Linked DNA regions of Pelodiscus sinensis. The protein of the gene in region 4 interacts with the protein of the main gene of each other region in a pairwise test. Links are inferred from orthologs where the notes say so. Each region holds a gene or a part of one and is shown on either strand. Other genes may lie near its edges.

Evidence for each region.
Region 1: the proteins of BNIP2 (region 4) and KLC1 interact in binary tests that used the Homo sapiens proteins (3 or more experiments, as listed by UniProt). The two-hybrid records come from large-scale screens. The link is inferred for Pelodiscus sinensis from reciprocal best matches to the Homo sapiens genes BNIP2 and KLC1.
Region 2: the proteins of BNIP2 (region 4) and BCL2 interact in a two-hybrid assay, tested with the Homo sapiens proteins (3 studies listed by BioGRID and IntAct). The link is inferred for Pelodiscus sinensis from reciprocal best matches to the Homo sapiens genes BNIP2 and BCL2.
Region 3: the proteins of BNIP2 (region 4) and FRK interact in binary tests that used the Homo sapiens proteins (3 or more experiments, as listed by UniProt). The two-hybrid records come from large-scale screens. The link is inferred for Pelodiscus sinensis from reciprocal best matches to the Homo sapiens genes BNIP2 and FRK.

What each region holds. Positions count from the first base shown.
Region 1 is NC_134714.1:20,265,222-20,272,785, forward strand, and holds the start of KLC1 (kinesin light chain 1), read right to left. Parts: upstream 3,016-7,564; 5' UTR 2,727-3,015; intron 1-2,726. UniProt on the Homo sapiens protein: Kinesin is a microtubule-associated force-producing protein that may play a role in organelle transport. The light chain may function in coupling of cargo to the heavy chain or in the modulation of its ATPase activity.
Region 2 is NC_134712.1:117,889,649-117,896,484, forward strand, and holds the start of BCL2 (apoptosis regulator Bcl-2), read left to right. Parts: upstream 1-3,821; 5' UTR 3,822-4,506; coding exon 4,507-5,073; intron 5,074-6,836. UniProt on the Homo sapiens protein: Suppresses apoptosis in a variety of cell systems including factor-dependent lymphohematopoietic and neural cells. Regulates cell death by controlling the mitochondrial membrane permeability. Appears to function in a feedback loop system with caspases.
Region 3 is NC_134713.1:82,695,316-82,702,454, reverse strand, and holds the start of FRK (tyrosine-protein kinase FRK), read left to right. Parts: upstream 1-4,131; 5' UTR 4,132-4,626; coding exon 4,627-5,060; intron 5,061-7,139. UniProt on the Homo sapiens protein: Non-receptor tyrosine-protein kinase that negatively regulates cell proliferation.
Region 4 is NC_134724.1:43,189,104-43,196,774, reverse strand, and holds the start of BNIP2 (BCL2/adenovirus E1B 19 kDa protein-interacting protein 2), read right to left. Parts: upstream 3,014-7,671; 5' UTR 2,897-3,013; exon of another isoform or gene 2,893-2,896; intron 2,791-2,892; exon of another isoform or gene 2,637-2,790; intron 856-2,636; exon of another isoform or gene 823-855; intron 1-822.

The DNA.
Region 1 (7,564 bases), on a different chromosome or scaffold from region 4:
GAAGATAAAGAGTGGCTGCTCAAATCCAAATGTCTCAAGAAACACACAACTTTCAATGAAAAAATTTTGAGACTAAATTTGAAGATACAATGAAGTCTTCCAGGGACACCCAGCCAAACAGGAGACCCAAAAACACGCAGAGGCGCAGAAGAAAGTATATATGTGAGAATTTTGTGACAACCTCATGGAAAGCTCCTCCATCAGCATAGCAACAGCAACTGATTCTGTATTTTAAAGGTGCCTGTACAATACTATTTCGGTTCTCCTGCTTTAATAAAGTAAATATAAAGATTCTTCCTCTTAAATAATTTAGATGCCTCATTTGAAGTTGCATACACCATTACTCTTATGCTGATAAGCTAGATTTTTCTTATTTTGTCTAAACTACCAGGCCGCTTAGCCTCTCATTTTGCCTTGATAAATGGCACATGCGAATAGTTCAATGCTATAATGCTTAAAAGATAATTTAAAATATATAACTAACATCTTATTTATTTTCCTTGATTGTAAATGTTATTTGATAGCAATATTGTTTTTATTAAAAGGAACAGGAAATAAATATAATGTTGATAGATCCTCATATTAATGGGATTGTCCATTCCCATCATCCTCAGAGGAACAGAAAGACTTCCAAACTTTTTAACTGCAACATGATGCAGAAGTGATACTGCATTCTGGTGTGACTTTGAGGAATTGATTATTATAATCCTCTGCCCCTCCCCACATAAGTCTGCTGAGCTCTGAACACAACATAATACTTCTCCAAATTTGCTATAATTTCACAGCAGTTTCCTGTTAAGTAACATGTTAACTATAAAACTGTTCTGCTGACTGAAAAAAACATGAAAGTCCTGTGCTCAATTTCAGCTAATGGATCTGCTTCCTCTCTATTGTCTATGAATGTTAAACTTGTTACTCAATACTATTATTAGTCCTGTGGTTTGGTTATCTTCAATTATATTGTATCCCAGCTATGGAATTAATAACCAATTAAAATAAAATTATTTGCCAAATATGATTTTTGAATAGAAGCTGAACTCAAAATTGTAGCCAACTTTTTTCAATGTTTGTATCTGGAAAAAAATTTCAAGAATGATCTTGTGTGCTAATTTGGACGAATGTTTCCTATGCAAGGTGTAGCTATAAACAAAAATAAATGAGACATCCACCAAATGAAATACCATAACGCACCATGCTTGCTCCTATTGTCACAGCAATACAGATTTATAATATTTTAAGAATCTTTGCTTTTTAGTAAAATCATCCATATTTTAAAATAAACATAGTATAAATTAATTTATACTATCTAGGATGTTTGCTTACTTTTTTATTTCTCATTTTATACAATGCAAACTAATTTCACATTTGTTTTAGTCCGTTTTGCTTACTGCATTACTGTTATGTTTAGTTTTGAAATGATATAGAGAAAAAATATAAATCAAAGAAAAATAAGCAGAAATATATATGCTTTTGTACATTTAATTATCACTTAATCATCAAGATATGATCCCCAAGATACCCTGAACAAAGCATACTACAGAAATGTAAGGCTTACATTTGTTATTTGAGAATTTAATTGACTATAAAGGCTCACTCATTATACAGATAATATGTCATCTAGAAAAAAAAAACAGTCACATTCTTACAAACTAAATTATTTGTTTGAGGGGGTCTGGAAGACTCTGATAAGAAAAGAAGCTTCACCTATGAAGCTACAAAACCTGATGTACATTACTGTTATTTCATTCACATTAAGTGCAGCTTATTGAAGAGTTGTGATTTGGGTTTGTTTTTAAATCTTGCAACTATGATTGGCTTCTGGGGTGAAGACCTCATACATAGAGTCTTAAAGTATAACAATAAAGAGGTATATAAAGGTAACAATCTATGGCTGTTGCTTCTGTAATTTATATAGCCAATCACCACACACGAAAATTCAAGAGCTGTCATTACTGTTCTTTCAGTATTTCAGAACTAGCAACCAACCAACCGAACCATCTATCCATTTTGCAAATAAAGACATTACAAGGGAGGGAATAGCTCTTTATCCCACAACTCTGTCCAGGGTTTCCTCCTTGGGCATCCTCAGGCCCTAACTGCAGCACTGGAGGAAGCCAGGAAAGAGCAAGAAAAGAAGAGAAACAACAACAAAAAAGCTGCTCGCAATCCAGACGAACAGGATCCCTTTCTCTCAGCATCTCTTCAGCAGAATCACCAGTACAGTCACTGCCAGAGCAGGTCCTGGGATTGACAGACATACTGAAGAGGCTGGCTGTAACCATGAGCTACAGAAGGACCGTCAGGCCAACAAGACCTGCCCAGCCTTTTGTTCTGTTTGTGTCATGGGAGAAGGGAAGGGAGGTGAGGTTCAGCGCTCATGGAAAATGGCAAAACACGGACTAACCCCACCCCTTGTCAACCGCCTCCTGCTGCCTCTCTGCACACGCCCCCTACCCACTCCCACCCCATACCCTCCTGCGCTGCCCCAACCCCCGACAGACACAGGGCTCGGCCCCATCCCCCCGCTCTATCCTACTCCAACACGCCGGCCTTGTGCCCATCACCCGCCCTGCCGCCCTCAGCCCCCGACACTCACAGGGCTCGGCCCCAGCCCCCCAAGCTCTATACCCCCTATTCACCAACCCGCGCCCCATCACCCGCCTTCCCAGCCCCCGACAGGCACAGGGCTCGGCCCCAGCCGGCCTCTTCCCTTCTCCCTCACTCACCGCTCGGGTGCTGCAAGCGGAGGCGATGCGCGCAGGGCTCGGCGAGGCGGCCGGGCTCCTCACCCCGGGAGGGCACCGGAGGGGATGTCGGTGGGGGGAGCAGGGCGGCACCACCAACCCCAGCGGCTTCCCCGCCCGCCGGCTGCCGTGGGCGCGCCGGTAGCCGGCGCGGAGCCGCCCGCGGGAGACGCGCTGACAGTTGCGGGCAGTAAATGCCGCCGCCGCCGCGCGTCCCCTTCCCGGCTCCCAGCCTGTGCGGCTCGCTCCGCCCCCCACCGAAAATGGCGGCTCCTCCCGTCCCACAATGCTCCGCGACCAAACCCATGACGTCATCCCTGGGGTGGGGGCAGGAGCTTGCCGCGGGGCGCGTGCGCCGGCAGGGCCCTTCGCCCCGCCTATGGCAGCAGCAGGAGAGTGGCGAGGCGCTGGGACTACCACAGCCCCCTCTGCTGGCCAAACGAGGAGACTTCTCCGAGAGAAGGGTCCGCCTGCAGGGAGAGGGGGTGTCCGGCAGGAGCAATGGTCAGGAAAGTTCCTCTTGACCAGCTCTGTTCTCCCTACTCCGTCTCCAGCCGGTGCAGTGGCGAGATTTTAAGAGTGGTCCTCACTTTAGCATGCTCTGGCTCCAGCGTGTAAGGCTCCCAAATTTACTAAGGTGATTTTGGCCCATGGTGCAGGAGGTACCCCTCCCTTGCCTTGCAATTAGTTTTGCTCCTAATCAGTCATGTCTCTTCAGTCTTCCCATCAGTTCATAGCCCCCCTGGGTTCTTCCTCCCATCCTTCTAGACCTGGAGAAGGAGGGTTACAGAAAGATCTCTCTCCTTTCCAGGCTAACCTGCTCAAAGGGCTCTTCCTCCCTGCTCTGCCTCTTCTAAAACCAGCTGGTGCAGGGAGAGAGAGGGACAGGAGGAGTCAATCAGCCATCCTCTTTTCTGGTAAGAGGGGAGATATCTCCACTCCCCCTTCCCTCTTGTGAGAAAGTTTCAAATTGCTACAAAGAGAGAGGAGAGCACTCTTTCTACAACAACTGTGATTGACTGTTTTGCTCCATCAGTCAGCCAAGTTAAAGAAGGCAACTAATCAAAGGGGTTTCAATGCAGGTAGAGCTCAAAGTTGCTAGCAGGAAGGAGCTTCTGGGAAAATGTCTGGTCACATTTACAGTTAAACATATATACACAAACAGGTCAACTGCCCACTAATGGTTAATTATCTATTGGAAGTTGCAGTAAGGATGTTAAAATGCAGATAATCAGTTAATCAAATTAAATTTTCAAAAACTATTCAATTAGGGGATAGCAGCTGCAGCTCTGCAGTTTAAATGTAGTAGGAGCCAGGTACCAGCTCCTACTCTCCTGGCAGCGGGAGAGGAGCAACTAGTCGAGTATTGACTTGACTACCCTGTAAGCCTAGGCTTATCAGGTAGTTGACTAGTCACTTACAACCATAAATTGTAGCAGGGAGCTACTGAGTAGAGTTCTAGTATTCGCTAGATAATAAATAGGAAGCTACCAAAGGTTGAGTCTAGGGGCAGCCCATGAGCCTAGGCGAACTAGGCAGTTGCCTAGAGCGCTGCTGGCCCGGGCGCCCGATGATAACGTCACGACCATTGATGGCGGTACAGGCAGGGGCGCCAATTGCGCTGCCTGCTTGGGGCGCCAGCTGCCGCAGCCGGCCTCAAACCGCTCCTGGTTGAGACTCTTCACATTATGGGAGCTAACAGGGTAGCTCTACAGAAATGTGAGAATATGAGGAGGAAGAAGTAGAGGACAACCCTATATCCAAGCTAAACATTAAGGCTTCGTCTACGCTGGCAGCTTCTTGCACAAGAACTCTTTTGCAGAAGAGTTCTTGTGCAAAAATTCTTCCACAAGAGAGCATCTACACTGCCATGTGCTTTTGCGCAAGAGCATCCATGGTAGTGTAGACACTCTCTTCTGCAAGAAAGCTCTGATGGCCTTTTTAACCATAGGGACTTCTTGCTCAAGAAATTCATGTTGCCTGTCTACAATGCCCTCTTCTGGAATAGTGATAGAAATGTAGCTGTGTTAGTCTGGGGTAGTTGAAGCAAAATGCAGGACAATGTAGCACTTTAAAGACTAACAAGATGGTTTATTAGATGATGAGCTTTCGTGGGCCAGACCCACTTCCTCAGATCAAATAGTGGAAGAAAGTAGTCACAACCATATATACCAAAGGATACAATTAAAAAAAATGAACAAATATGAAAAGGACAAATCACATTGCAGAACAGAAGGGGGATGCGGGGGGGTGGGAAGGGGGAGGAAGGAAGGTAAGTGTCTGTGAATTGCTGATATTAAAGGTAGGGAGAGTGGGATGTTTGTGAGTTAATGGTATTACAGGTGATAATTGGGGAAACTGTCTTGGTAATGGGTGAGAAAGTTCAAAGTCTTGTTAAGTCCTTGTTGGCAAGTGTCGAATTTTAACATGAATGACAGTTCAGAGGATTCTTGCACAAAAGGGCTTATTCCTTATGGGGAGAGGAATAACTCTTCTGGAAGAAGCCCTGTTTTACAATGCTATACAGTAAATTTACTTCTGGAAGAATGCTCGTGCAGTGTAGACAACCGGCAAGTTTTTGCGGAAGAACGGCTGCTCTTCCGGAAGAAACTGCTAGTGTAGATGTAGCCTAAGAGTTAGAGGGTAGGGTTGCCACGTTTCTAATCACAGAAAATCAAATACCTTTGCCCTGCCCCTTCTCCCAAGGGCACCCCTCCACTCTTCATCACCCTTTCTCTGTTGCTTGCTCTTCCTGCTATTCATTCACTTTCACTGGGCTGGGGTGTAGTACAAGAGGGCGGTCCAGGCTGAAGTTGAGGGGTTTGGAGTACAGAACTGGAGCAGGGAGCTTGGACTTTGGGGGGGGCAGGCTCCAGCAGGGAGTGTAGGCTCTGGAGTGGGGCTGAAGCTTTTGAGATGCAGAAGGGGGCTCAGGGCTAGAGTGGGGGAGGAGGTGTGGCTCTAGGAGGGAGTTTGGATGCAAAAGGACACTCGTGGATGGGGCAGTGGGTTGGGCTGCAGGAGCGGATTTTCGGTGTGGGCTCAGGCAGGACTTATCTTGGGGGTTCTTCCAAAAGAGATGATATATCCCTTGGCTCCTAAGCAGAAAGACGAGCAGGCAGCTTTGCACTGACTTCACCCACAGGCATTATCCCTGCAGCTTCCATTTGCCACAGCTCCCATCATTGGGAACTGCAGAGTTGATGCTGGGAGAGAGGGCAGTGCCCAAAACTTCCCTGATTGTCCTTCTAGCTAATGGTCACAGGGACATGCTGCCCATTCCTGGAAACTACCTAGAGCCAGGGCGGGCAGGGAGCCTGCTTTAGCCCTACTGCACTGCTGACCTGACTCAAAGGCCTGGACAGAAGTGATAACTGGAGTCACCGGGACCCCTTTTTGACTGCAGTTTTTGACCAGGACATCAATGACTAGTAGGGGAATCAGATCTACTTGGTCTGGCAATCCTAGTAGGGGAATCAGATCTACTAGGTCTGGCAGTTCGATAAGTTTTCATGAATATACATAAGATTTAATTAAAATTTGAACATCCTCATTATGCAAGACAGCTGATGCAAAGAACTGCTTCTGTCTTTTGGCTAAACAATATTCACTATCTCTTCATCACCCATAAAAAAATTCTGTAGTTACTAATTTGCCCTAGAGACTCGAATGGCTCTGAATAAAGCAACTACTCTAACATGGCCAGATACATAATGCATATTATATATAGTTTTGATTTCTGCTAAGTAGTAAATATTTCATAAACTTCCAGTCAGACAGGTATCTAATTTGCTAGCTAATCATGTGTATCAGAAAAGACTTGGACTATGTGCTTCTGCAGCAAGCTTCCACCTGATTTCAAATACAATACAAGCCCCTTCCATGAAAGGTCTGCTGGAATAGGCTTCTAAGAGTATGAAGCCCTGCAAAGCTAAGTTATTCAGGGTTTGGTTTCAGCCCTAGGAGGCAGGGCTCAGAGTCTGTGGCATCAGCCTTACAGAGCGGCACTCTGGCTTTCTAACACCCTGAAACCTACTTTTGGCCCCCATGAACCCCAAACATTATGCTTTGGTTGGAACCTGGGCTGCTCCTCCTTTGGAGGGTAGCAGCATTCAGGACCAAACATCTAACCCAAATTTATGGCCCTGTAGCCTGAGCCAGTGGACACAGGCCAGCCCTGAGTGTTTTATTGCAATGCAGACTTACCCCATGGCTACGTCTACACTGCAGGCTTCTTGCGCAAGAATTTTTTGTGCAAGAGTTCTTGCACAAGAGCGCATCCACACTGCCATGTGCCTTTGCGCAAGAGATGTGTTTTTGTGCAAGAGCATCCATGGCAGTGTGGACGCCCTCTTGCGCAAGAAACCCCTGTCCCCATCCACACTGCCTTGCGCAAGAGGGCTTATTCCTCATAGAGGAATAACTCTTGCGCAAGAAGCCCTCTCTTCTGATGCTTTACTGTAAATTTACTTGTGCAAGAACATGCGTGCAGTGTAGATGCTCTGCCAATTTTTGCGCAAGAACACCTGTTCTTGCACAAAAAGCCTGCAGTGTAGACTTAGCCCAAGAGCCTACTGGAGACTGGAAAAAAAGATAGCCATTTACATAGGAATTGATTCTGGTTACACCAGCAGTAAATCTTTTCCTTGCCTGCTCTTGCTTAAGGAGCAGTGTAGGTACAGAACAGTACTTTTAGAGTGAAGTGGCCTGCAGACCCTCGTGGAGAGGAGGGTCATTAAAAGGCTAGGCCAAGTCCTTATGATTCTGTGCAGACTTTCCAGGGATGTGGTAGTTTTGACCATGAAGGAGGGGATGTGGTG
Region 2 (6,836 bases), on a different chromosome or scaffold from region 4:
AACTTAGCGGAGGTGCTCGGGGGCATGACTAGCAACTGAAACTACATTTAAAACTTGACAAGTTGTTGATACTGCCTCTTTAAAATAACTCTCAAGCACCATAGTGATAGAAATGTAGCCGTGTTAGTCTGGGGTAGTTGAAGCAAAATGCAGGACAATGTAGCACTTTAACAGTGACTTCAAAATGTTTTAAAGGAGAAGCAACCACCAGGTGGCAACAAGTGGTAAGAAAACTTTCATTAGTGAATTTACAATGGCTTAGTTAGAAAAATGTGAATGAATTTTTTTTCTCAAAGTGATTGTTCTCTATTTGACTTATCAGTACTCCATCCTCAAAGGAAACCTGCACAACACTATCAAAAGATGAACCTGGGAGCGTAAATTCATAACTTTTCTACATGTTAAAAATAAACTCTGGAGTCCTGGCTTATTACAACAATCTATAACACATTAACAACCTTCCTCGCTGCTCCCAGTTTTTCATTCCCACAACTGGAAAAGTATTAACCAGCCACTTCACTTTGAATGGTCCCTTGAAATATGTCTTAACTGTCTCTGCTAAACAATCTGCTTCACTTTGTATTTAGCTGTTACACTCAAAGTATGTTTCTTAATCCTGAAGACAAGCTCTTGGCAAGCTGAAAAGACTGTTTCTCTCACCAGTAAAAGTTGGTCCAATAAAGGACGGGGATTGTGGATTCAAGCAAATTCTCATCTTAAATTTCAAATATGTTTCCCATCTAGATCTATAGTTGGTAACATTCCAGTTAACACCTTTCATTTAATTCTTCAGGATTTACAGAGATTTTGCGTTGATACAGGAAAATCCTTTAGAATAACATTTTAAACATTCTAGCAATCTGTTTCTGTCCTTTCACGCTAACAACCTGATACTTAGATGTGCCAAGTACCTTCACCTCTCATTTAACTTTGATCTTGTGTACACTGGAGATTTATTCTAATTTCAACCATGGGTGTCCAGCCATCAGTGTAGCTGTACTATAAACCCCTGGGCTATGTCTACACTGCAGGTTTTTTGCACAAGAACTTTTTGCACAAGAGTTCTTGTGCAAAAGTTCTTGCGCAAGAGCGCATCCACACTGCCATGGGCTTTTACACAAGAGATGTGCTTTGAGTTGTTGCACAAGGGTGCATCCACACTGCCATGTGCTTTTGCACAAGAGATGTGCTTTTGAGCAAGAGGGTCTATGGCAGTGTGGATGCTCTCTTGCACAAGAAAGCTCTGCTGGCCATTTTAGCCATAGAGGTTCCCTGTTTCCATCTCTTGCGCAAAAAGCCCTCTCTTCTAGCTACTGTAAACTTTCTTGTGCAAGAATGGGCTTGTAGTGTGGATGCTCTGCAAGTTTTTGAACAAGAACAGTCATTCTTGCACAAGAAGCCTGCAGTGTAGACACAGCCCTGGTGTAAACAAGGGAAAATAGTAGTGTTGATTTTTCACTAGTGCATTTTACCCCATTTCCCAGCAGGATTCCTGTAATCTTAAGTGTGTGTTGAATCAGTCTCTAGATTAATTTGCTCTCAATTTTTTTTATTTATCTTGCCCCCCTCCCACTCCAAGAATCTACACTGTGTACAAACTAAGACCCCAATTTGGGAAAGATTTATGCATGCATTAAACTTTATATATAGGTAGTCCTATAGAGTCTAGATCTCAGTGGAGCTATTCATGTGCATAAGATTAAGCAAGTGTATAAATCCCTGCAGGATCAGGACAGACAGACCCTAGAAGACATTTTACTATATAGCATGGTGCTAACTGGGATGGTAGATTTGGACTATTAGAGTAATAAGCACAATAACCAGGAACAAGGATTTGCACAAAGGGGATCTAAGATGATAGCCCCCAAAATATTTTCAAAGGAGTAATGAAGAAAAACCACATGGGCTAGTGAAAAAGGCCAAAAAGGTCAATGAACATGTCATTAACTTAGAAGTCATCTTTCTTATCTGCCTCTTTTGACTATCCAGTCTTTAAGTGCTTATAGACTGTTTTTCCTGTTACATTCCAGCTGAGCTTTCCCCTTGATATTTTTATACCCACTATATCTTCTTGTTTTTCCCCCTCTCCTATTTTTTCCTTCTCCCCCCCTCCCCTATTTATTTTTGTTCTGGGCATCCAACACTCTGGTTATCTGAAGAAGTGGGCTGTGCCCAGGAAAGCTCATGAGACCATCTACATGTTTTGTTAGTATTTAAAATGCTACCGGACCATTTGTTGTTTTTAAGTTTTTCTTTGAGCGTGTGTTTCTGCAATAAAATGTTTCTCATCTTGCTACCTTTCCAGGTTCGCTTAATGGTGTGTCTGGAGTCTTTGCCACTCAACAGTCCTTAATCCTCACGAGTGGGGAGGATCAAAAGGGATTCCCCTACACCACGAGCAGAGCTTTTCACTCCAAATGGTTTCAGCAATGCATTCCCCCTCCAAATGGAAAGCACAAAAATGAGTGAGGGAAGAAATGTCCAGCACTTAATGTGAGGTGAGCCCCCCCCCCCTAAAGTTGGCAGCTGATATAGTCGGGCACCTCCCGGCTCAGTGTGTCAGTGAGAAAGTAAGAGCATTGCTGGAGCGCGCTCAGGTTGCTCTTTCACTGCCATGCCCCGGAAGCGTCTAGCCCATAACTCATCACAGGGCTGGCTGGGATTTCGGGTTAGGTATCAACCCGGCCTCTTTCCACCTCTGCCGGCACCAGGCCTCGGCGCTGGTTTGGGGGGTTGTGTTTGGCTCGTCTCCCCGGCGCGGCGCCCGGGCCGGCCTTGGGTAAGAGCGCAGGCAGCAGCGCCTCCCGCAGCCTCCCCGGAGCCGCCTGCGTCTTCCGCCCCCGCCGGCGCCAAGGGGAAGCCGCGAGCAGCGCGCGGTCCTGGCTTTGCACCGCCCGGCGGGGAGCAGGCCCGCGACGCCCAGCGCAGCATTGGCCCTGCGTGGCTGCAGCCCCGGCCCACAGCAAGGAGCCACCCGGTGCGTTTCCCGCTCCCGCCTCCCTTTCCCAGGGAGCCCCGCTCCATACACCCCGGCCGGCCGAGCATGCAGGCAGCCCGGCAGGCTGCTCCCGGCCACGCACGGGGCATGTGGCCCGCCCCGCCAGGGATACGCCGATCGCCTCCTTCCTTTCCCCGTTTCTTGAATGAACAGCGAGGTGGAGCTCTCGGGATCCCGCCCCTCCTGCGCGGGCCTCTCCCGGCCCGTCTCCTCCCCGCCACTGGGCTCCGCTCCGCCTCCCTCCTCCTCTTGCCGCCGCGCTGTGCCTGTGCTTCCCCGGCCGCCACAGCGACGCGGAACGGACTGGCGCTCCAGCAGCACCACTGCAGACAGACTAGGGGGCTGCTCTGCCGGGCGGCTGACAAGGCTGCCGGTGCTGGGGCGGGAAAAGGGAGCGGGGAACAACTTCCTAGCTGCGGTCCTAATTTGTATGAATAATATTCCACACACGCCCCCATCCTCTTCCCTCCTCTGCACAGTGGGGGTTTCTTCCTTTTTTATACAAACAAAGCTGCTTTGGGAAGGCATTTGCTCCCGGGAGTTCAGGCAACCGCCACAATTTTGATGCTCCCTTTTTGAGTGTGTGGGTGTACGTGTGTGTGTGGGAGCGCTGGGCTGCACCTAGGGATCAGCCTCTGAATGAAACTACATGTATTCAATTGCATGTGTCTGTACCTTGCACTGGAGGGGAAAGCACAGCAGCACTTCTGCAAGAGCTTGGAGTCAAAGGTGTGTTTCATCTGCTCTTCACAATTTTGTTTTTTGTTTTGGGTTGTTCTTTTTCCTGGGCTCTGAGGCTGGATATTCTGAGCTTTGACATGTCTTTGGAGAGGTCTGTTTAACAGAAGGCGGGGAAATATTTTTTGAAATCCTTAGGGTTTTGTTTTTGTCCCTTTCCTGTCCCCTTGGTGATTTGATCTTGTGAAGCATCAAAGCAGCCAGAACTTAATGTGTCTGAAGACTTCTGATTTTTTTAAAGGAAACTTGACAGAGGAACATATTTATAGTTCAAGTAAGTACTTTTCACAGCAAATTTACATTGTGTAATTAAAAAAAAAACAGTGTTGAGATTTTTTAGTTTAAAGTGTATTGGATTAATATTCATCCAAGGCTGTTGAACAAATCAGTTTGAATTGCAGTTTTTGCAGTCTATGTTCTTCAACTCCTTCATTCACATGTGCTTGTTCAGCACCTTGGGGAACGTATGCACCTTGTTTTGAATAAGTATGAGATATTTTTTAAAAAAAATGTATTTCAGCATCAAGAAGAAAATGTTTCTAAAATAAGTATATAATAAGTAAACATGTGCTTCTGGAAATAAAATACACGTGCATCCAAACCGAGAAGTCGAAAGTACCTCTGAGACCTCAGAGCTACCATCATGAATGAAACCACATCAAATACAATAACTGGATTATAATTTTTGGTATTATTGTTATTGGCTACTTTACTTTTTTGGGTTCATTCTTCTCCTCTTCTTCCTCTCTCCTTCGTCCTTGTTGGAAATTATGGCTCATCCTGGGAGAAGAGGCTATGATAACCGGGAGATAGTGTTGAAGTACATCCATTACAAACTGTCACAGAGGGGGTATGATTGGGCTGCCAATGAAAACAGAGGACCAGTTTCTTCAAGTCTCTCTCCTCCTGCTGCTGCTGGGACCCCATCTGACCATGCTGGGCTGGTGTCTTTGCCGCCTGAACCCCCTGGTTCGGCTGCTGCTAGTAATGTGCCCCTTGGTGATGGGCTGCGCTCAGCACCACAGGCTGTTCACTTGACTCTGTGCCAAGCCGGAGATGAATTTTCCCGCCGCTATCACAGAGATTTTGCCCAGATGTCTGGGCAGCTGCACTTGACCCCATTCACGGCCAGGGGGCGCTTTGTGGCGGTGGTGGAGGAGCTATTCCGAGATGGGATTAACTGGGGAAGGATCGTGGCCTTCTTTGAATTTGGTGGCGTGATGTGTGTGGAGAGTGTCAACCGGGAGATGTCGCCTCTTGTGGACAGTATTGCTGTGTGGATGACTGAGTACCTGAACAGACACTTGCACAACTGGATCCAGGACAATGGAGGTTGGGTAAGTGTCCCGTATTTCTTTCTCTGTAAATTATGGTAGAATTTCCATCAATGTGGTCACATACTATAGTGATGCAAGCAGTATAGCAACCTATATAGACCAGAATATGAATATCATAATATACTTTAATTGACATAATGCAAGGCAGTGTTTTGGTCTGTGTTACTATAGTGTTTATCAGCATAGCTGTTGTTGGTGTGGAGCTTCTGGAATGTCATGTCATGCAGGAGTTAGAGTTTTGGTGTGGGAGTGGTCACAGTTCCCCATCCTTTGCTAAAAGCTTGGGTAAGAGGTGTATGCATGTATGTGCACACACTGAAAACAAACTTTCTTGTTGGCTGGTGCAGTGAGCGTTCTCCATTCTGTTTCAATGTACTTTAACCATTGAAATCATATGTATATGTTGCGCTATGGTAGAATGGATTCACAGAGCAGTGTGGGAAAGAAAAGCAGTGACATATCTAGGAATGATGCTATAGCCTAATGCTTGAATGAGGTTGAGGGAAAAGGAAAGCGTGTGTGTTTTGTGTATATGCTCATGTTAGTCAAGAATGCTGTAAGCAGGAGAACTCTATATTACAGATCATCAGATGGAGCAGTGTTTAAACTGAGCATCATCTGGTGTTTATAACATAAAAATATTAGAAAGATTTTACTGCATACGCTAAAAGTAATATTTTTAAATTGTCTTTTTCTAGTGCTTGTGTTGAATCAATTTCAGGTTAGGCAGAATAAAGTGTGGGGAGGAACTTTCTCTGACAGTTTTCTGGAGAGTGCATGCTATTTATTATAACCTGGTGTATTCCAAAGGCAAGAAGTATTTTATGAATTCCAGGGATTAAAAACAAACCAAAACTTTAACCTGGTGTATTCCAAAGGCAAGAAGTATTTTATGAATTCCAGGGATTAAAAACAAACCAAAACTCTGGCTGAGGTGGTTTTAGAAGGGAATAATTCAACCACAGGCAAAGAAAATCTACCATTTTCATCCATACAATCAAATCTCATCTGTTTCTGTCTCAAATAATAGTTTTGTCAATTGAAAGATGCTTTCTCCTTTTATTCATTTCATTCCTGCAGTATGCATAAAACCAATCTTGTATGATGTGCCTTAATGCATTTGTGAATCCAAGGAGCAAAAGACTCATTGCAACAGAAAACTTAATGTATGAGTCTGGGGGCTGTCATAAGTCATTTTAAAGAAGAAAATAGAATAGTTCTGGGATTCTAAAGGCCCTACTTCCGTCTGCTAGGTGGCATATTTATAGAGAGAGATTTGTTATATAGTACAATTTTAAGTTGCTTACTGCATTTTGCTTATGAAATTCATTTTTAAAACTATATATAAATTGTTACTGTACTTAAAGATTATAGATGCTGAAATATCACTTATCCACAGTGGCTGTGTCTATTCAAATATTGAGATCCTCCATTCTCTCCCATGGTTCTCAGCACAGGGTGTTTTACATCCAAGGGACTGGGAAACGTGTGGACTGACATTAGTAGGAAGAGCAGGCATTTGTGGCATTCTACCATGTTTGTGTTCTACTTCTGAAGTTAAACTTCAGGACAAGTGATTAAGACAGTGATATCGACTGAAATGTGGAAAACCCCCCAGCTTGTTTTGAAGGTTATAAATATGGCTTAAAAGTTGCAGGACAGCCCCTCAACATGGACCTGAAGGATAGCCTTCAAAGATAACATTTTTCAAAATGAGTCTTTAGCATTCTTTGGAACAGCTGTTTATGCTGTGCATAGGGGAA
Region 3 (7,139 bases), on a different chromosome or scaffold from region 4:
TTGCATAAAAATGGCTGCCATTTTTGCCGACTCAGCACTTTGGCTGCAAAATGAGGCAGTCTAGAGGGGGATCTGTTGATAAAGAAAGCCTTTTTTCGACAGATTCTGGCACTTTTCTGCAGAGAAGTTTACAGGATCTGCCAAAAAAGGCTTTCTTTCTTGACAGATCCCCCTCTAGACTGCCTCTTTTTGCTGACAAAGTGCTAAGTCGGCAAAAATGGTGGCCATTTTTATGCAAATTAAGTGCGGGATATTTAAATCTCTGCTCCATTTGCAATGTCGACCTGCCTAATCTGCATCCCTCTGCCAACAGAGGGATGCAGTCTAGACATACCCAAAGTGTAGTTACATAAAAAATGCAAACGAACAGAAAACAGGAGGAACACACTGCAGACACTAATATAAACTTTCTAAGAAAAAATTATCTCTACAGTGAAACTTCACATTGTGCCAAATATATTGGGTACGTACTTGGGAAATACCCAGATTTGAGGACAAGGTCATATTTAAGACCTACGGCCAGTAATTTTGGCAAAGGCACCTCAAACAATATATCTAAAGAATTTTGCAACAAATCTAGGGGATGTAGTAACAAAAAGTCATTCTATTACATGTGACCTATGAATTCTAATGTTGAGTTTGCTTTCTTTAACTGGTCAGAGAAATGTAATAAATAGCTCACATGACTCATTAAATAGCAGCCACAGTTGCTATGCCTTTTGGCACAAAAGCAAATTGTCTATGCAAAAAGAGGAACCAAAACCTTTTTGTAGCCCTCAATTAATTTAATGGTTTGCTGAAATTTGATGGTGGAAGAGTGACCTGGAAAAGTTAAACATAAAAACATGAATTGCTGTTGTTCTGTGTCTGTAAAGAAATTAAAGAAAGGCAGCATTGTTTACACTGGGTAGCATAGTATTGTTATAAAGTCATCCTATAGCTCTATTTTTATAAACCAGTTACCAAGAAAAACATTCTGAGGAACATCCTTGTTATGTGTGTAAAGTTATGGCTTTGCCTCAATTGCTTGTTTTATTTGAAAATATCAGAGATGGGTGCTACCCATTTTCCAAATGTAAAACTGGTTGCTCCTTATTCATGACTGACTCCTCACAATGGATTAGGAAATGGATTATGTTACATATTCTGGTTTCCTGTTATTAAACATTAAAGGGCAAAATCTGGCTTGACTAATACTCTGTGTGAGACTATTCAAGTCAATTAGCATACATGGAGTGAAAATCAGGACAGAATTTGGCCTTACATTTTAAGACATTTCATGTGAAAGAAACACTCATGGGCCACTGTTTGCACATGTGGCATAGTCAGCTCCTTCCTGCCTCTGCTCAGGGGTTGGAGCAGCCAATAGATAACCTGACAAAAGTACTCAAGGCCTCGGTATGCCTACAATTGAATGTATATGTTTCCAGCAGGTGGTGGAGTTGAGCAAGCATAGACTGGGGCTATGTCTAGACTGCAGGCTTCTTTCAAAAGAAGCTTTTCCGGAAGCGATCTTCTGGAAAACCTTTTTCCGAAAGAGAGTGTCTATACAGCAAAAGTGCATCAAAAAAAGTGATCTGCTTTTTCTAAAGATAGCATCCACATTGATTGGACGCTATCTTGCATTTAAGGCCACCCTGAAGCAGTTCAGGCAGGACATTACATCAGCAGTTGCTTTCGAGTGCTGTTGCCTAAGCCTAGCTGAGAGACACACTTAAAGGGACCCCCGTGGACATATTTTCTCTGCTTCTGTTGTGTGCTTGTCTATCACTCTGAGGGCCAGCAAAGCTTTAGCAGTGTATGCTGTGGTTGCCCAGCTTTTGGACACCACAGCATTCTTTGTGACATGAAGCCAGAGTTGCCCCTTGGCATGCAATGGCCCCACAGGGCCATGCTGCAGTTTGTGCAGCAGTTTGTGCAGGCTGCCTTCAAGGCCCTCCACGAGCTTGACACCGAGTTAATCTTTGAGACTCTCTCCCTGTGTGTGGGAACAAGACCCTGGCAACCATACTTCACAGTGGAGAGATGGTTTTGGAGGCTCAACACCAGTTCCAACTGGTGGGACTGGCTGGTGATGGAGCGGTGGGATGACCAGCAGTGGCTCCAAAACTTCCATGCGGAAGACCACCTTTTTGGAGCTATGTGTCTGCCTAGCCTCTGCCCTCCAACGGCATGACACCCGCCTGTGGCCCGCCATCCCCCTGGAGAAGTGGATTGCCATCGCTGTCTGGAAGCTTGCCATCCCAGACACCTACCCGTCAGTGGGCAACCAGTTTGGTGTGGGGAAGTCCACCGTTGGGGCCCTCCTCATGGAGATAAGGCACCCTCGGGCTGCAGTCCCTTGGGGTGAGGGCAAGTCCTGGAAAGGGGGACCTTAGGGAAAGGAGGGTGGAGTGCTGTAGGGGTGGGCTTGGGGGGGAAGCCCCATCCCCAGGGGGTTGTGCCATCCCACCCTCACACAGCCCTGCTGCTGGGCTCATAGGGGGTATCTCCTGGGGTATTTGAGGGGGGGAGAAGAGGAGATGGGAGGGCACCTCCCAAGGGCTCAGGAACACCCCCTCTCATTCTCTGTTGTGTTTGTTTGTCTCCTTCCGCAGGTTGTGAGGGCCATCAACTCCATCCTGCTGGGCAAGGTCATCTGCTTGGGAGACCTGGACCAGCTGAAGCACAGGGCCGAACAGGAATCTCATGACCATTTCAGAAGGGGCCTTGCATGCACAACCCTTCATAGGTCCAATGAAATATATTACCTCATTCTCTCATTTTCTGTCAGTTCATTAGTCACCATCTGTAATTGGAATAAATTACATCATCAAACACTCATTCAGGCTATGCCTAGACTACAGGCTTCTTGCACAAGAAGCTTTTTTCGGAAGCGATCTTCCAAAAAAACTTCATGCAAAAGAGCATCCACACTGCAAAAGTGCATCAAAAAAGTGATGTGCTTTTTTGAAAGATAGCGTCCAGCCTGCCTGGACGCTATCTCACACGTAAGCAGTGATTGCGATGGACAGAATGGCCACCAAGGCACCTGTGCTTTTTCCTCTTCCTTCTTCTTCTGAAAAAATTCCCTCTTCCTCATCCATAGACGCCTTTTTGCAAGAGTGCTTTCGCAAAAAGACGTTCTTCCTCGTAGAATGAGGATTACCAATTGCAGAAAACCCCCGCAGTTCTTTTGATTTATTTGTGAAAGAATGCAATTGTAGTGTGGACGTTCCTCAAGTTTTGTCAGAAAAACTGACTGTTTTTCCGACAAAACTCTGTAGTGTAGACATACCTTCAGTGTGGAACAGAGGTAAATGTGAGAAGTATGTATAGACTCAGTTACTGCTGGCACAGAGTCAGCTTGCACTTCTGCCATTCAGGGGCTATCAGGACTGGGGTAGCTGCAGCCCAGACTAACTAGGGCTGCTGCAAGCCCTACTCGAATGGGCCCAGAGGGGTGCAGGTCTCCCTCAGTTATGTCCTCTTATGCCCAGTCTGACTCTTCTACATTCTGGAATTCCTGTGTTCCCTGCAGACACACCCCAGAGATTCCGTGCACCATAGTGGTGTTCTCAAGCTTTGCTCGCTCAGACTGTACAATGCTGAATCTGGCCCAAGCTGCTGCTTTGTCCCAAATGTGTTCAAATACCAAGTTGTGCCTAGGTCTGGCTATTGTTATGAAGTTGGTCCAATAAAAGATTACCAACCCACCTCGTCTCTCTAGCATAATACCTATTTATTCTGTATGGCTGGTACAATTCAACAGTGTAACATGATTCTTTGGCTGGCGCGTTTAATTTTTAAGTCAAAGAATAAGGAAGGAATTAAAATATATGACTTTTACTGTACCCACCATATTTATTTTTTCATTTTATAAAGTGTCAAACCTAGTTCAAGAACTTCAGAGATTATAAGGGGATTTTTAAAGCTTTGACATATGGTAATGTAAGCATACATGTTGAAAGCAGAAGCAGGTGTGCTCCCAGGTGGAGGCACTGGAGGGACACAAGGTAGCCTACTTGCATATCTCTGAGAAGAGAAACCAAAGCAAACCAGGAAGCAAATAAAAATATTCAGGCAAGCCACGTCTCAGGCTGTGAAAAAAACAGGCTGGCTGGGTTAGTTATTCATTACCAAGAGCTACAATGTGCAGAAAGGCTCTGTGCTGACCACAGCAGGCACTCATATGGGTCAAGAAGAAGAATCTTCAGAAGTAGTACAGCTCTGAGAAGAGTCAACGCTAAGATTTTAAAATTATTTCTAATTATTTGTACTTTTTTTCTTTTGATAGGACAAACAAGATCAATGATTTTCTTTTGCTGCCAGATTTTGGCCCAACCACTGTCCTTTTTTGTTTTCCTGATCAAAAGAGGAAGCAAACAATTCTCCCCCATGCACTATTGCCCTTTAATGCTCAGGTATCACTCCTGAGTAAGAAGCAGCCTGCAACAAGCTCTCGGTGGGACTTTGGAAAGAAAAGTTTCCAGCTACAGCAAAATTTATTTCATCTTGTGCCACAGGAGGAAAAATATCCTGCAAAGAACTAAAAGGATGACAATGCTAAATTATGTATAAAGATATTGCCACTTGGAAAAGAAAAGAAAAATAAAGAGGAGAGAAGAAGCCACCAAGAGGAGCAGCATGGGGAACTTTTGCCGGAAGCATTGCATTTGTATGCAGAGGTGTGCCCCTTGGCTCTTCCAAGAGAGTGATGATGGAGGAGAGGGGGAGAAATATAAGACAGGCCATGTTAATCGTGGCTTGTGGGGAAATGATTGCCAGATAGACAATACTGCCCAGGCAGGTGTGGATGCTGGAATTCCTTTGCCTCCACCGCGTGATCAGAAGCCCACAAACCGTCACAACTTTGTGGCACTGTTTGATTATCAGGCCCGCACTATAGATGATTTGAGCTTCCGAACTGGAGATAAACTCGAGGTGTTGGATACATCTCCAGAGGGCTGGTGGTACGCTACTCTCCTCCTGGACAGTGGGTCAACCCAGCCTGGCCAGACGCTCAGCGGCTACATCCCCGCCAACTACGTAGCTCCTGTTCAGAGCATTGAGGCTGAGCCGTAAGTAACACCCACATTATATGCACAATTGTTGTTCCTCTTGTCTTAATAGAAGGAACAGATTGCAATACCTTTTCTCACACTGACTAGTACCTTGTTCCAAAAGTCTTCTCAGTAGTGCAAGGCACTGCTTAACATGAGTAACGAGATCACAGTCTAGTCCCAAATAAATAAAATAAGGCAAAGTATTCAGATGTTTGTTTCATTCTAAATCACTTCCCTTCCCCACATGTCCTAATCACTTCCTTATTATATAGGTGGGTCACAGCTAGTACGGGTAATTATTATGATTATTATTTATATAGCAGTAAAAATATGCTAGGTGCTTTCTAAAGAATAAAAAGATAAGGGATCTGTTCCCAAAGGGCTTGTAATTTAAATAATTCCAAAGCTGAGTAAATTACTTAAAAAGGGCAAGAAGCTGGAAACATCCCCTCACATTTTGTTCCTAATGGTGGGTGAATTTCTAAGGTATCTGTGTTAGTTTCTATCTCATCATAGATGCAATGCGTGGTGCTGAATAAATAAATCCCCACCTTGCAGAGCTCAAAATCTGAGTTACACTATGGTACCGTAAATGGAGGAATGAATGGCTAGAATTCTTGCCTAAAAGTTATTTGAACTCATTAAGTCTGAAAAATCAGACTAGGAATCTAATTGAAATAGATTATTTCACTGGGAGTCTGATTTGAAGAGGAGTGGGGAATCCAATGTATGCACTGCAGTTGAGACAGGGGTTTGCTAAAAAAGCTGTGGCCACTATCCCAAAATAGATGCATGTTTCCACTGAAATGACTAGCTAACAGAACTGACATTTTTAGGTTCCAAAGGCCACTTTCTATTTGGATGAGTAGGGACAATCAATATCTCTTACAGTGCCAAAGACATACTTCACTCTTCAAAGGAATGGTACTACAGCTGTGTGGGGTAAATCTTCTTTCCCCCTGAAATATGCTCTCCTACCCATTAGCTGGGGCCACAGGGAATTGCCATAGAGTTGATTTACCAGCTGAAGATTCTTTCATGTTGGGAAAATCCTCAAGTGGAATGACCTGTTAGGGCAGGTGTAGGGCATCTCCCTTTTACCCTGGAGACCTTAGTGTGTACGGTCAGTCAGACAGCACTTCCTCCATTCATATTCAAAAGCCTCTTTGCAACCATGAACATTAATCTGCAAATACAGCATTTGTCTGGGGCTATAAGAGAAGTGTTTGTAATATGCTCTACTTCAGCTCAGTAAGACCGCCGCTCTCTTTCAAAAACTTGTTTTCTTGCAAGATTTCCAGGATTTCTGTTTCTTGTCACAGCTGGAAACATTGTGAAATCAACTTCAATTGTTATTCAACAGAATCTCATTTATCTCAGTCTCTCTCATATTTATAATCTGCCCTAGCATGCATAATTTGCATATAACATATTTATAGTGTCAAGATTTTTTCTTTTACTGTGTTTAAGTTTTACCTCTCCACTTTTTAAAAAGAGAAAGAATATCGTTATGCTGTGATCAATGTTTCTGCTTGAGGACCCATTGGATAGTAAAAACCTGCACTGGGAATTTTTCCAACTCTTGGTTGAAGAGTCTTTCCTCCAAAATATTAGTCAAGAATTTTAAGTGTTTTAATATTAAGATATTTTAAGTAAGAGTTAAAAACAAAACCAAAGAAACACAACCACCAAAGACACTCTAAAAATTTCTGTAGCTGTTCTCACATACCTCTAGCACATATTGGTAGACTAGGATCTGATATTTCGAATGTGAAAAAAGCAGAAAATGAACCCCCCCCCCCTCAAACCACACCATGAAGAAATAAGAGGGTTCAAACTTTTTTTCTGCTGGACATTAAAAATAAAAAGGGTAGAGATGGAGCTTAAAAAGTTAATGAAATTACTTCTTTCTAGGATTTAAAATGGAAATGTTGTGGGTCAGTCACTAATTTCCTTCTTTTTTAATTTGCATTTGAATCTGGTTTATCACTTGCGTGTAGGGCTGGGTATTTTACAAACATTTTCTATAATTTCTAAAGAGATTCATGTTTTCAAATCACAACTTTGTAAACTAATTTGTATAATTTGATTCAG
Region 4 (7,671 bases):
TACATAAGAGTGTAGTTATCTTACCAGCTAAGCATGACATTTCAATTGAAATTGTCATTTAAAAAATAGAAAAATTTCATAATGATGACAATTTTGCTTTCTAGTCACAGTTAATATATGAAATCTAAAAATGGCATATTTCCTAATTCAACCAAATGGTTAGAAACTTACCCAGATTAAAAGCACTGTCACGTTTTACTGTACCTGAGCAAAACTCTTTTGTTTCTAAATTTGTATCATGAGGTTCAAAAATTGAAATAACTACTCATCTTCATCAAGTACTAGCTACCTGCAAAGTTGCAAGTCATTCCCACATCTCAAAAAGTTATAAGAATGCATTGTAATGAAGTTATAAAAATACTTGCTTCGTGAGAAGCATCTTGCAGCTCTAAAAATAGCTTTTACTGGGGAGGAAAAATATTATTATGAAATGGAATTCAATGTAATACTGAACTCTATGTAATGCACTGTACAGCAGTTATTGCTTTAGGTTTGTTAAAGTAATTTTGGCTTTGTACCTCATAATATAGCCCAAGGTGTTAAACATTTTAAAACACACAGTTTAGCATGTCTTATTGCTTAATAAACCAGTTATTTAAAGTAGCTAACAGGAACAGTTGTGCAATTAATAGATTTGGCAACCAGATTAAACACGGATATAGTGGAAGCGATGGATTTCTTTAATGACTTTCATGCTAAAATGTTGTTAGAAGATTAGCAATAATCACTGTAAATCAACGTAACAATCATTAGTGTTCATCAAATCATTAATGTAAAGAACTTTTACTTGGAAAACATAGAAGAGAGTTGTAAATGACTTACCTGGCAGTTTCCACTGAAGAAACTTGTGCATAACTGAAAAACATATTAAGTTACTGTTTCAGTTGTCAAACATCTATAGCATAGCTTGACTAAATACAAACAATGATCACTTAAAGGAAGATTTTGAGTTCAATTAGAAGTTCCCAAATATGATCTTCCAAGACTTAATAAATAATATGGTGCTCGTACCTTCTTGTTTCCAACTATTAAATTTATTAGAAGTTAACACTAAATTCTTTTCCTCACATTTTTTTTCATGTATTTACAGGCAGTCCCCGGGTTACGTACAAGATAGGGACTGTAGGTTTGTTCTTAAGTTGAATTTGTATGTAAGTCGGAACTGGTACATATTGTAGGGGAAACTCTAGCCAAACATTTCTCCAGAGCTCAGTTTTATTCTCCCACACCTCACTTCCCTCAGTCCTTTATTCTAAAGCTGAGGTGTCTGCTGAGAAAAGCCGCTCCGCATCTCCCTGGTGTTCTGGGGGAGGAGGGGCACTAGCTTCACGTCTCCCTGGTCTGCTGGGGGGAAGCAGCTAGTGCGGGGTTGCCTCACCCCGTTTGTAAGTAGGGATCCGATGCAAGTCGGATCCGTGTAACCCGGGGACTGCCTGTAATTGTTCTGGCTGCTTTACAGTTATCTGATCTCCAATGGCAAGGGGTAAGCCGTTAAATCATGAATGAAAAGATGGTCCAACAGAAGAGTCTAAAAAAATTGGGAAACTATATTAGAGTTCATAACTTTCAAGTTTTAAACAACTTCTATTGAACTACATAGAGAGCAGGAATGTAAGTATTTGATTGAAGTTTGAGAAAACTTCAGCGAATTTGGTATTCAAGGTGACAACTAGATTGAAAACAGTTCTTTATTTCCTGTATTTTAATGTGGTATGTCCACCTATTTACAATCTGAGTTACTATAAAAATTGCAGCAGCTTACAGGCAGTCCACGGGTTACATGGATCCGACTTACATCGGATCCCTACTTACAAATGGGGTGAGGCAACCCCGCACTAGCTGCTTCCCCCCAGCAGACCAGGGAGACATGAAGCTAGCCCCCCACCCCAGCAGACCAGGGAGACGCGGAGCGGCTTTTCTCAGCAGACAACTCAGCTTGAGAATAAAGGACTGAGGGAAGTGAGGTGTGGGAGAATAAAACTGAGCTCTGGAGAAATGTTTGGCTAGAGTTTCCCCTACAATATGTACCAGTTCCGACTTACATACAAATTCAACTTAAGAACAAACCTACAGTCCCTATCTTGTACGTAACCCGGGGACTGCCTGTATCTATCTATCTCTCTCTTATTTTAAACTAGAAATCAACACCAAAAAAATTTTTTTTGGTCAGTCTCCACAAAAGAGGATGACCATTTAACAAGTTTGGTCTCTTCTGCAGGATAACCACAAGAAGCTGTTCTCTTCTTTCAACATCTGCATTCTGGGAATAGGGAATTTATCTGCTCACATGATAGGGTGCTACGGTCATAAAAGCTGAAGGGCGTTAAGCAGGAAGACCAGGGGATGTTGACAGTACGAAAGAACACACCCCACGCCATTTCAGAGTGCGATTCCTGCCTGTTTCAGCCACACATGCTAAGGAGAGCGGGACTGAGCAGGACTCCTGACTCTGCCGAGCAAAGCTCAGCTACGACACCTAAGTACTGGTCTCCCAGTAGCGGTCCCATCGTTGCTTGCCCGTTTACGTTGGATAGCGCCGCTTCAGACGGCGGTTTCGCGTTGAGCCTGTGAAGGCCGCTTCCCCTGCCAAGCCCTGGCTTCCCGAGACAGCGCCCCACAGAAAGCGCCGAACGCACCGCGGCCAGAGCGCGCTCAAAGCACTGCGGACGTTGCCCAAAGCCGCCCGGCCCCGGCTACCGAGCGGCCGGTTCGACACCGGGCGCCACACACGGCCCGGCCCAGCTCGGGGAGGGGGGTGAACAAGAAACGCCGCCGCCCAACGGTTCCCAAGCGCCCCCGACTCCGTGACGCCCCTCAAGGGGGCACCCCCCCTCCACAGAGCCAGCGACTACCGACCCCGCCCCCCCAGCTCCCCCCGGCAGCGGGACATACCTACCGGGACTAGGTCCCTTCAGGAAACTGACAGACACCCCCTCCTCCCACCCCCGCCCCCGCGCTGACCCGGAACCGGATGGGCAGGGAGAAACCAGAGTCAGGGTCGCAGGAGCCGCGCGTTCCACGACTCCGCCAGGGGCTTTGCAAGTGAGGCGCATGCGTAGTGCGTCCGGCATCCCCCCCCCCACCCCAGAGACGCTGGGAAGCTGCTGTGAGCAGCGAGGGCTGCTGCCCGGAGCGGTCAGCGCGCGGGACTGCGCGTGCGCGCTCCGCCCCAGCCTGTCAGGCACCGAACTCCCAGCGCTGGGGGTGGGAGGGCACCAGGCTTCCCGGTTCCCAGCCGCGCGCCCCCTCGAAAAAGGCCCGTCCTCAGCGCTCCCAGCCTGGGAACAGTGAGAAGCGGGGCGGGCCTGGCAGAAGGGGCGGGGCGGGGCGGGGGGACCCAGTTTCGAACGGTCCGAAGACATCGCGCTAGGCAGTGTGGGGGCTGCGCCGCAGGAGCCGTTGGGGGAGCCGGGTCCTGTGCCACTGAACCAGCCCGGCCCTGAGGGCTGAACCGCTGCACGCCAGCGCTGGGCAGCAGCCCCCTGCCCCTGGGCCTGGGCAGGGCCTGCCACAGGGTAGGACGCTAGCGTCAGACTGGCTCCAGTTGTCACAGGTATGTCTGGCCTCAGCTCCCCTCCAAAGCAGGGGGAATGAGGGGCTTAAGTACTTTGGAGGATCTGGATCTCCCTGGGCTACCCAAGCCCCAGGGGATTTTGTAACTGAAAAGTAGTAGGTGTCACATACAATACTTACGTTGGTAAGAAATGATTCCCTCGACGGCACATCAATTTCATCATAAAATTCTAAACATTTACCAAAAAGCATTTTTTTTTAAAGCAGGACATCAATTCTTGTACTTCTAGACACGGGAGGTTCATATATGGCTGTATCAAACAAGACCCACTTCTTGACAAAATCAATTTCCAAGGGATGAAGTGTCCCTGCCTCCCTCTACCCCCTGCAAAAAAAAAAAAAAAAAAAAAAAAAAAAAAAACCACTGCAAAAAAGAGTAGTGGTTCATGCGCCAGTCAGGGAATTCACTATTCTGGACAAATCAAATCAGATGTCAAAATGATCAAATGTGTGTCCTAAAAGTTAGGCACCTAAATAAAGTGTAAATAAGTGACCTAATTTTTTAGAACTGCAGAGTCTCAGACTGTTTCTACATTGGCGCAGTCTTGCGCCAAAGTGGCTGCTTTTGCGCAAAAACATACTGCCTGTCTACATTGGCGGGGAGTTCTTGCGCAAGAACACTGATGTTCTAATGTGTGAAATCAGTGCTTCTTGCGCAAAAACTATGATGCTCCCACTCAGGAATAAGCCCTCTTGTGCAACTGTTCTTGCGCAAGAGGCTAGTGTAGACAGGCAACATGAATTTCTTGCGCAAGAAAGCCCGATGGCTAAAATGGAGTCAGCTCTTGGTCAATTTCAGCAGCGGCTGACTTGGGGACGCCTGGGGCAGAGCAGCTGGGGTGCTGCTGGGTTGGTCCCGCACCGCCGCTCCTCAGCGCTACTGGATCAACCCGGCAGCACCCCAGCTGCTCTGCCTCAGGCGTCCCCAAGTCAGACGTTGCTGATACTGAGTGAGTCAGCCGCTGGTCAATTTCAGCAGTGGTCAATTTCAGCACCGAGGAGCGGCGGTGCGGGACCAACCCAGCAGCACCCCAGCTGCTCTGCCCCAGGCGTCCCCAAGTCAGCCGCTGCTGAAATTGACCAAGAGCTGACTCCAGAAAGCCTGAGGCAGAGCAGCTCTGCCTCGGGCTTCCTGGAATCAGCCTCTGGTCAATTTCAGCAGCGGCTGAATCAGGACGCTTGGGGTGCTGCCGGGTTGGTCACGCAGCCCCCAGGGGCAGCGCCCCAGCTGCTCTACCTCCGGCTTCCCCGATTTAGCCACTGGTCAGTTTTAGCAGCGGCTGAATAGGGGAAGCTGGGGGCAGAGCAGCTCCAATGGTCCGGCTGCGGAGCACTTCCGGGTTCCTGATGGTGCTGGACCATCAGGAGTGCCGGACCGTCAGATGCCGGACCAATGGAGTTTAACTGTATATTGCTATGCTTTATGAATCAAGGGAACATGAAGGGGAGGTTAAAGCGACTGGGACTTTTCAGTTTAAAAAAGAGGAGACTGAGGGGGTATATGATAGAGGTCTATAAAATCATGAGTGGTGTGGAGAGGGCCGATAAAGAAAAGTTATTTATTAGTTCCCTAAATAGAAGAACTAGAGGACACCAAATGAAATTAATGGGTAGCAGGTTTAAAACGAATAAAAGAAAGTTCTTCTTCACACAGCGTGTAGTCAACCTGTGGAACTCCTTGCCAGAGGAGGCTGTGAAGGCTAGGACTATAATAGAGTTTAAAGAGAAGCTAGATAATTTCATGGAGGTTAGGTCCATAAAAGGCTATTAGCCAGGGGATAAAATGATGTCCTTGGCCTCTGTTTGTCAGAGGCTGGAGAGAGATGGCAGGAGACAAATCGCTTGATCATTGTCTTCGGTCCACCCTCTCTGGGGCACCTGGTGCTGGCCACTGTCGGTAGACAGGATACTGGGCTAGATGGACCTTTGGTCTGACCCAGTACGGCCGTTCTTATGTTCTTATGCACTCAGTGTCTCTAAAATGTAAGTTAACTCACATTCAGAATGCATCTGATGAAGGGGGTTTTATCCATGAAAGCTTATGCCCAAATTAACGTTAGTCTTTGAGGTGCCACAGGACTCCTTGTTGTTTTCACATTTAGAAAGGGCTTTGAGACCTTTGGAGTTGTACCATTTTAGATGGCTAGATAGAACACTTATGCCACTACTATATTAATCATAAACCTGCAGAGAAATTATATTTTTCTGACCACACACATCACTAGGACTTTCACCTATTACCACATTATCCTTTACCCTTTCAGAAATAGTGAAGTCATCTATCTTTCCCATCAGAGAGTTTGAGGTAGTCCTCCCACAAAGATCTTGTTTATGCAACAACAACAAGAATTGTCTATAGTCTTTTCCAGCACAAGTACATCTGAAGTACTGCAATCAACAGATACAATGCTAGTGTAAATGGACTCAGGCATTTTTACCATCACATCATGAAAATCTGACTATAACCTTTCACATAAGCAGGCTTTTATAATGTTGAGTAAAAACTCCTCAGCACTGTACACACTAAAGCTTACATCATGTCTAATAGTGCATCTAAACTGTTGCTGAAAAATGGGTACAAACTTCTCTAGGGCAGGTGCAATCAGAGATTCAGATCAACATAGAGTCATTCACTCAACCTATTCTGAGTGTCGCTAGCTTTATAAAGAGCTTAGTACATTGCCACCGTATTGAGACAGGTGCTAACCTAGCCAGTTTCTCTTCACTTACCTTATGGTAGCTTGTCGAGACAAAGGTGGAAGGGTACAAAAATGAAGTCAGTTTGACTGTTTCAGGAGAAGGAGGAGGATCAATATAAAACTTAACTGTCAATACATGAGTAAGAATAAGGGGGAAATATGGAGGAAATAAGAGGGGGAATAGATTTAAAGGTGTGGAGGAAAAGAAAAATGAGCAGAGAAAAGGAAAAAGAAGACAAAGGTGAAGAAAAATATGACAGAGCACAGAGACAAAAGAAGTGCAATTAATAAGATAATAAGGTCACCACTCTCAGGACCTTACATTATTTGTTTGTGCAGAGGTTAGCACAATGGCCCCTAATATATATTGGGGCCTACATGCACTACTATAATATATGGCTAGACTGGCATGATTTTCCAGAAATGCTTTTAACAGAAAAGTTTTCCGTTAAAAGCATTTTCGGAAAAGCACATCTAGATTGGCACGGACACTTTTCTGCAAAAGCACTTTTTGCGGAAAAGCGTCCGTGGCCAATCTAGATGCTCTTTTCCGCAAAAAAGCCCCGATCGCCATTTTCGCGATCGGGGCTTTTTTTGCGCAAAAAAAATCTCAGCTGTCTACACTGGCCATTTTGCGCAAAAGTTTTGCGCAAAAGGGACTTTTGCCCGAACGGGAGCAGCATGGTATTTCCGCCAAAAGCACTGATTTCTTACAGTAGGAAGTCAGTGCTTTTGCGGAAATTCAAGTGGCCAGTGTAGACAGCTGGCAAGTTTTTCTGGAAAAGCAGCTGATTTTCCAGAAAAACTGGCCAGTCTAGACACAGCCTCTATGTTTAGTAATAAATAATAAAATAATTCAGGCAAGAGAGGGTTTAAATAAGGAAGAGTTGGGTGTGTAGATACAGAATGGAAAATGCAAGAAGCTGAGATTTGAAAAATATAGCAAAAGGGACACAGATGGTAAATACTCACCTCCTACCTTGACGGTACATGGTACATCCCCATTTTTACTCTGGGAAGAAGAGTACATTAAAGAATAAGTTGGGATGGGCATTGCTTAGTTGAGAAGTGCATACGGATACCATATTTTCTTTCTTTGCCCCCTGTCCTTTATATACCTTGAATGCCAGTCCAACTTTGAAACATCCCTCACTCTCTAAAAAAAAAAAAAAAAAAAAAGAATAGTCTTGCAGCACATTAGAGCAGGGGTTCTCAAACTTTGTGATACCGCGACTCCCGTCCAAGTTGCTCACGACCCTCCAGGGGGTCGGGACCCACAGTTTGAGAGAAACAGTCTTAGAAACTAACAAAAAATGTAGATGGTCTCATGAGCTTTTGTGGGCACAGCCCACTTCTTCAGATCTCCCTCTTCATGTCATCCCAGTATTCCTTACTGAAG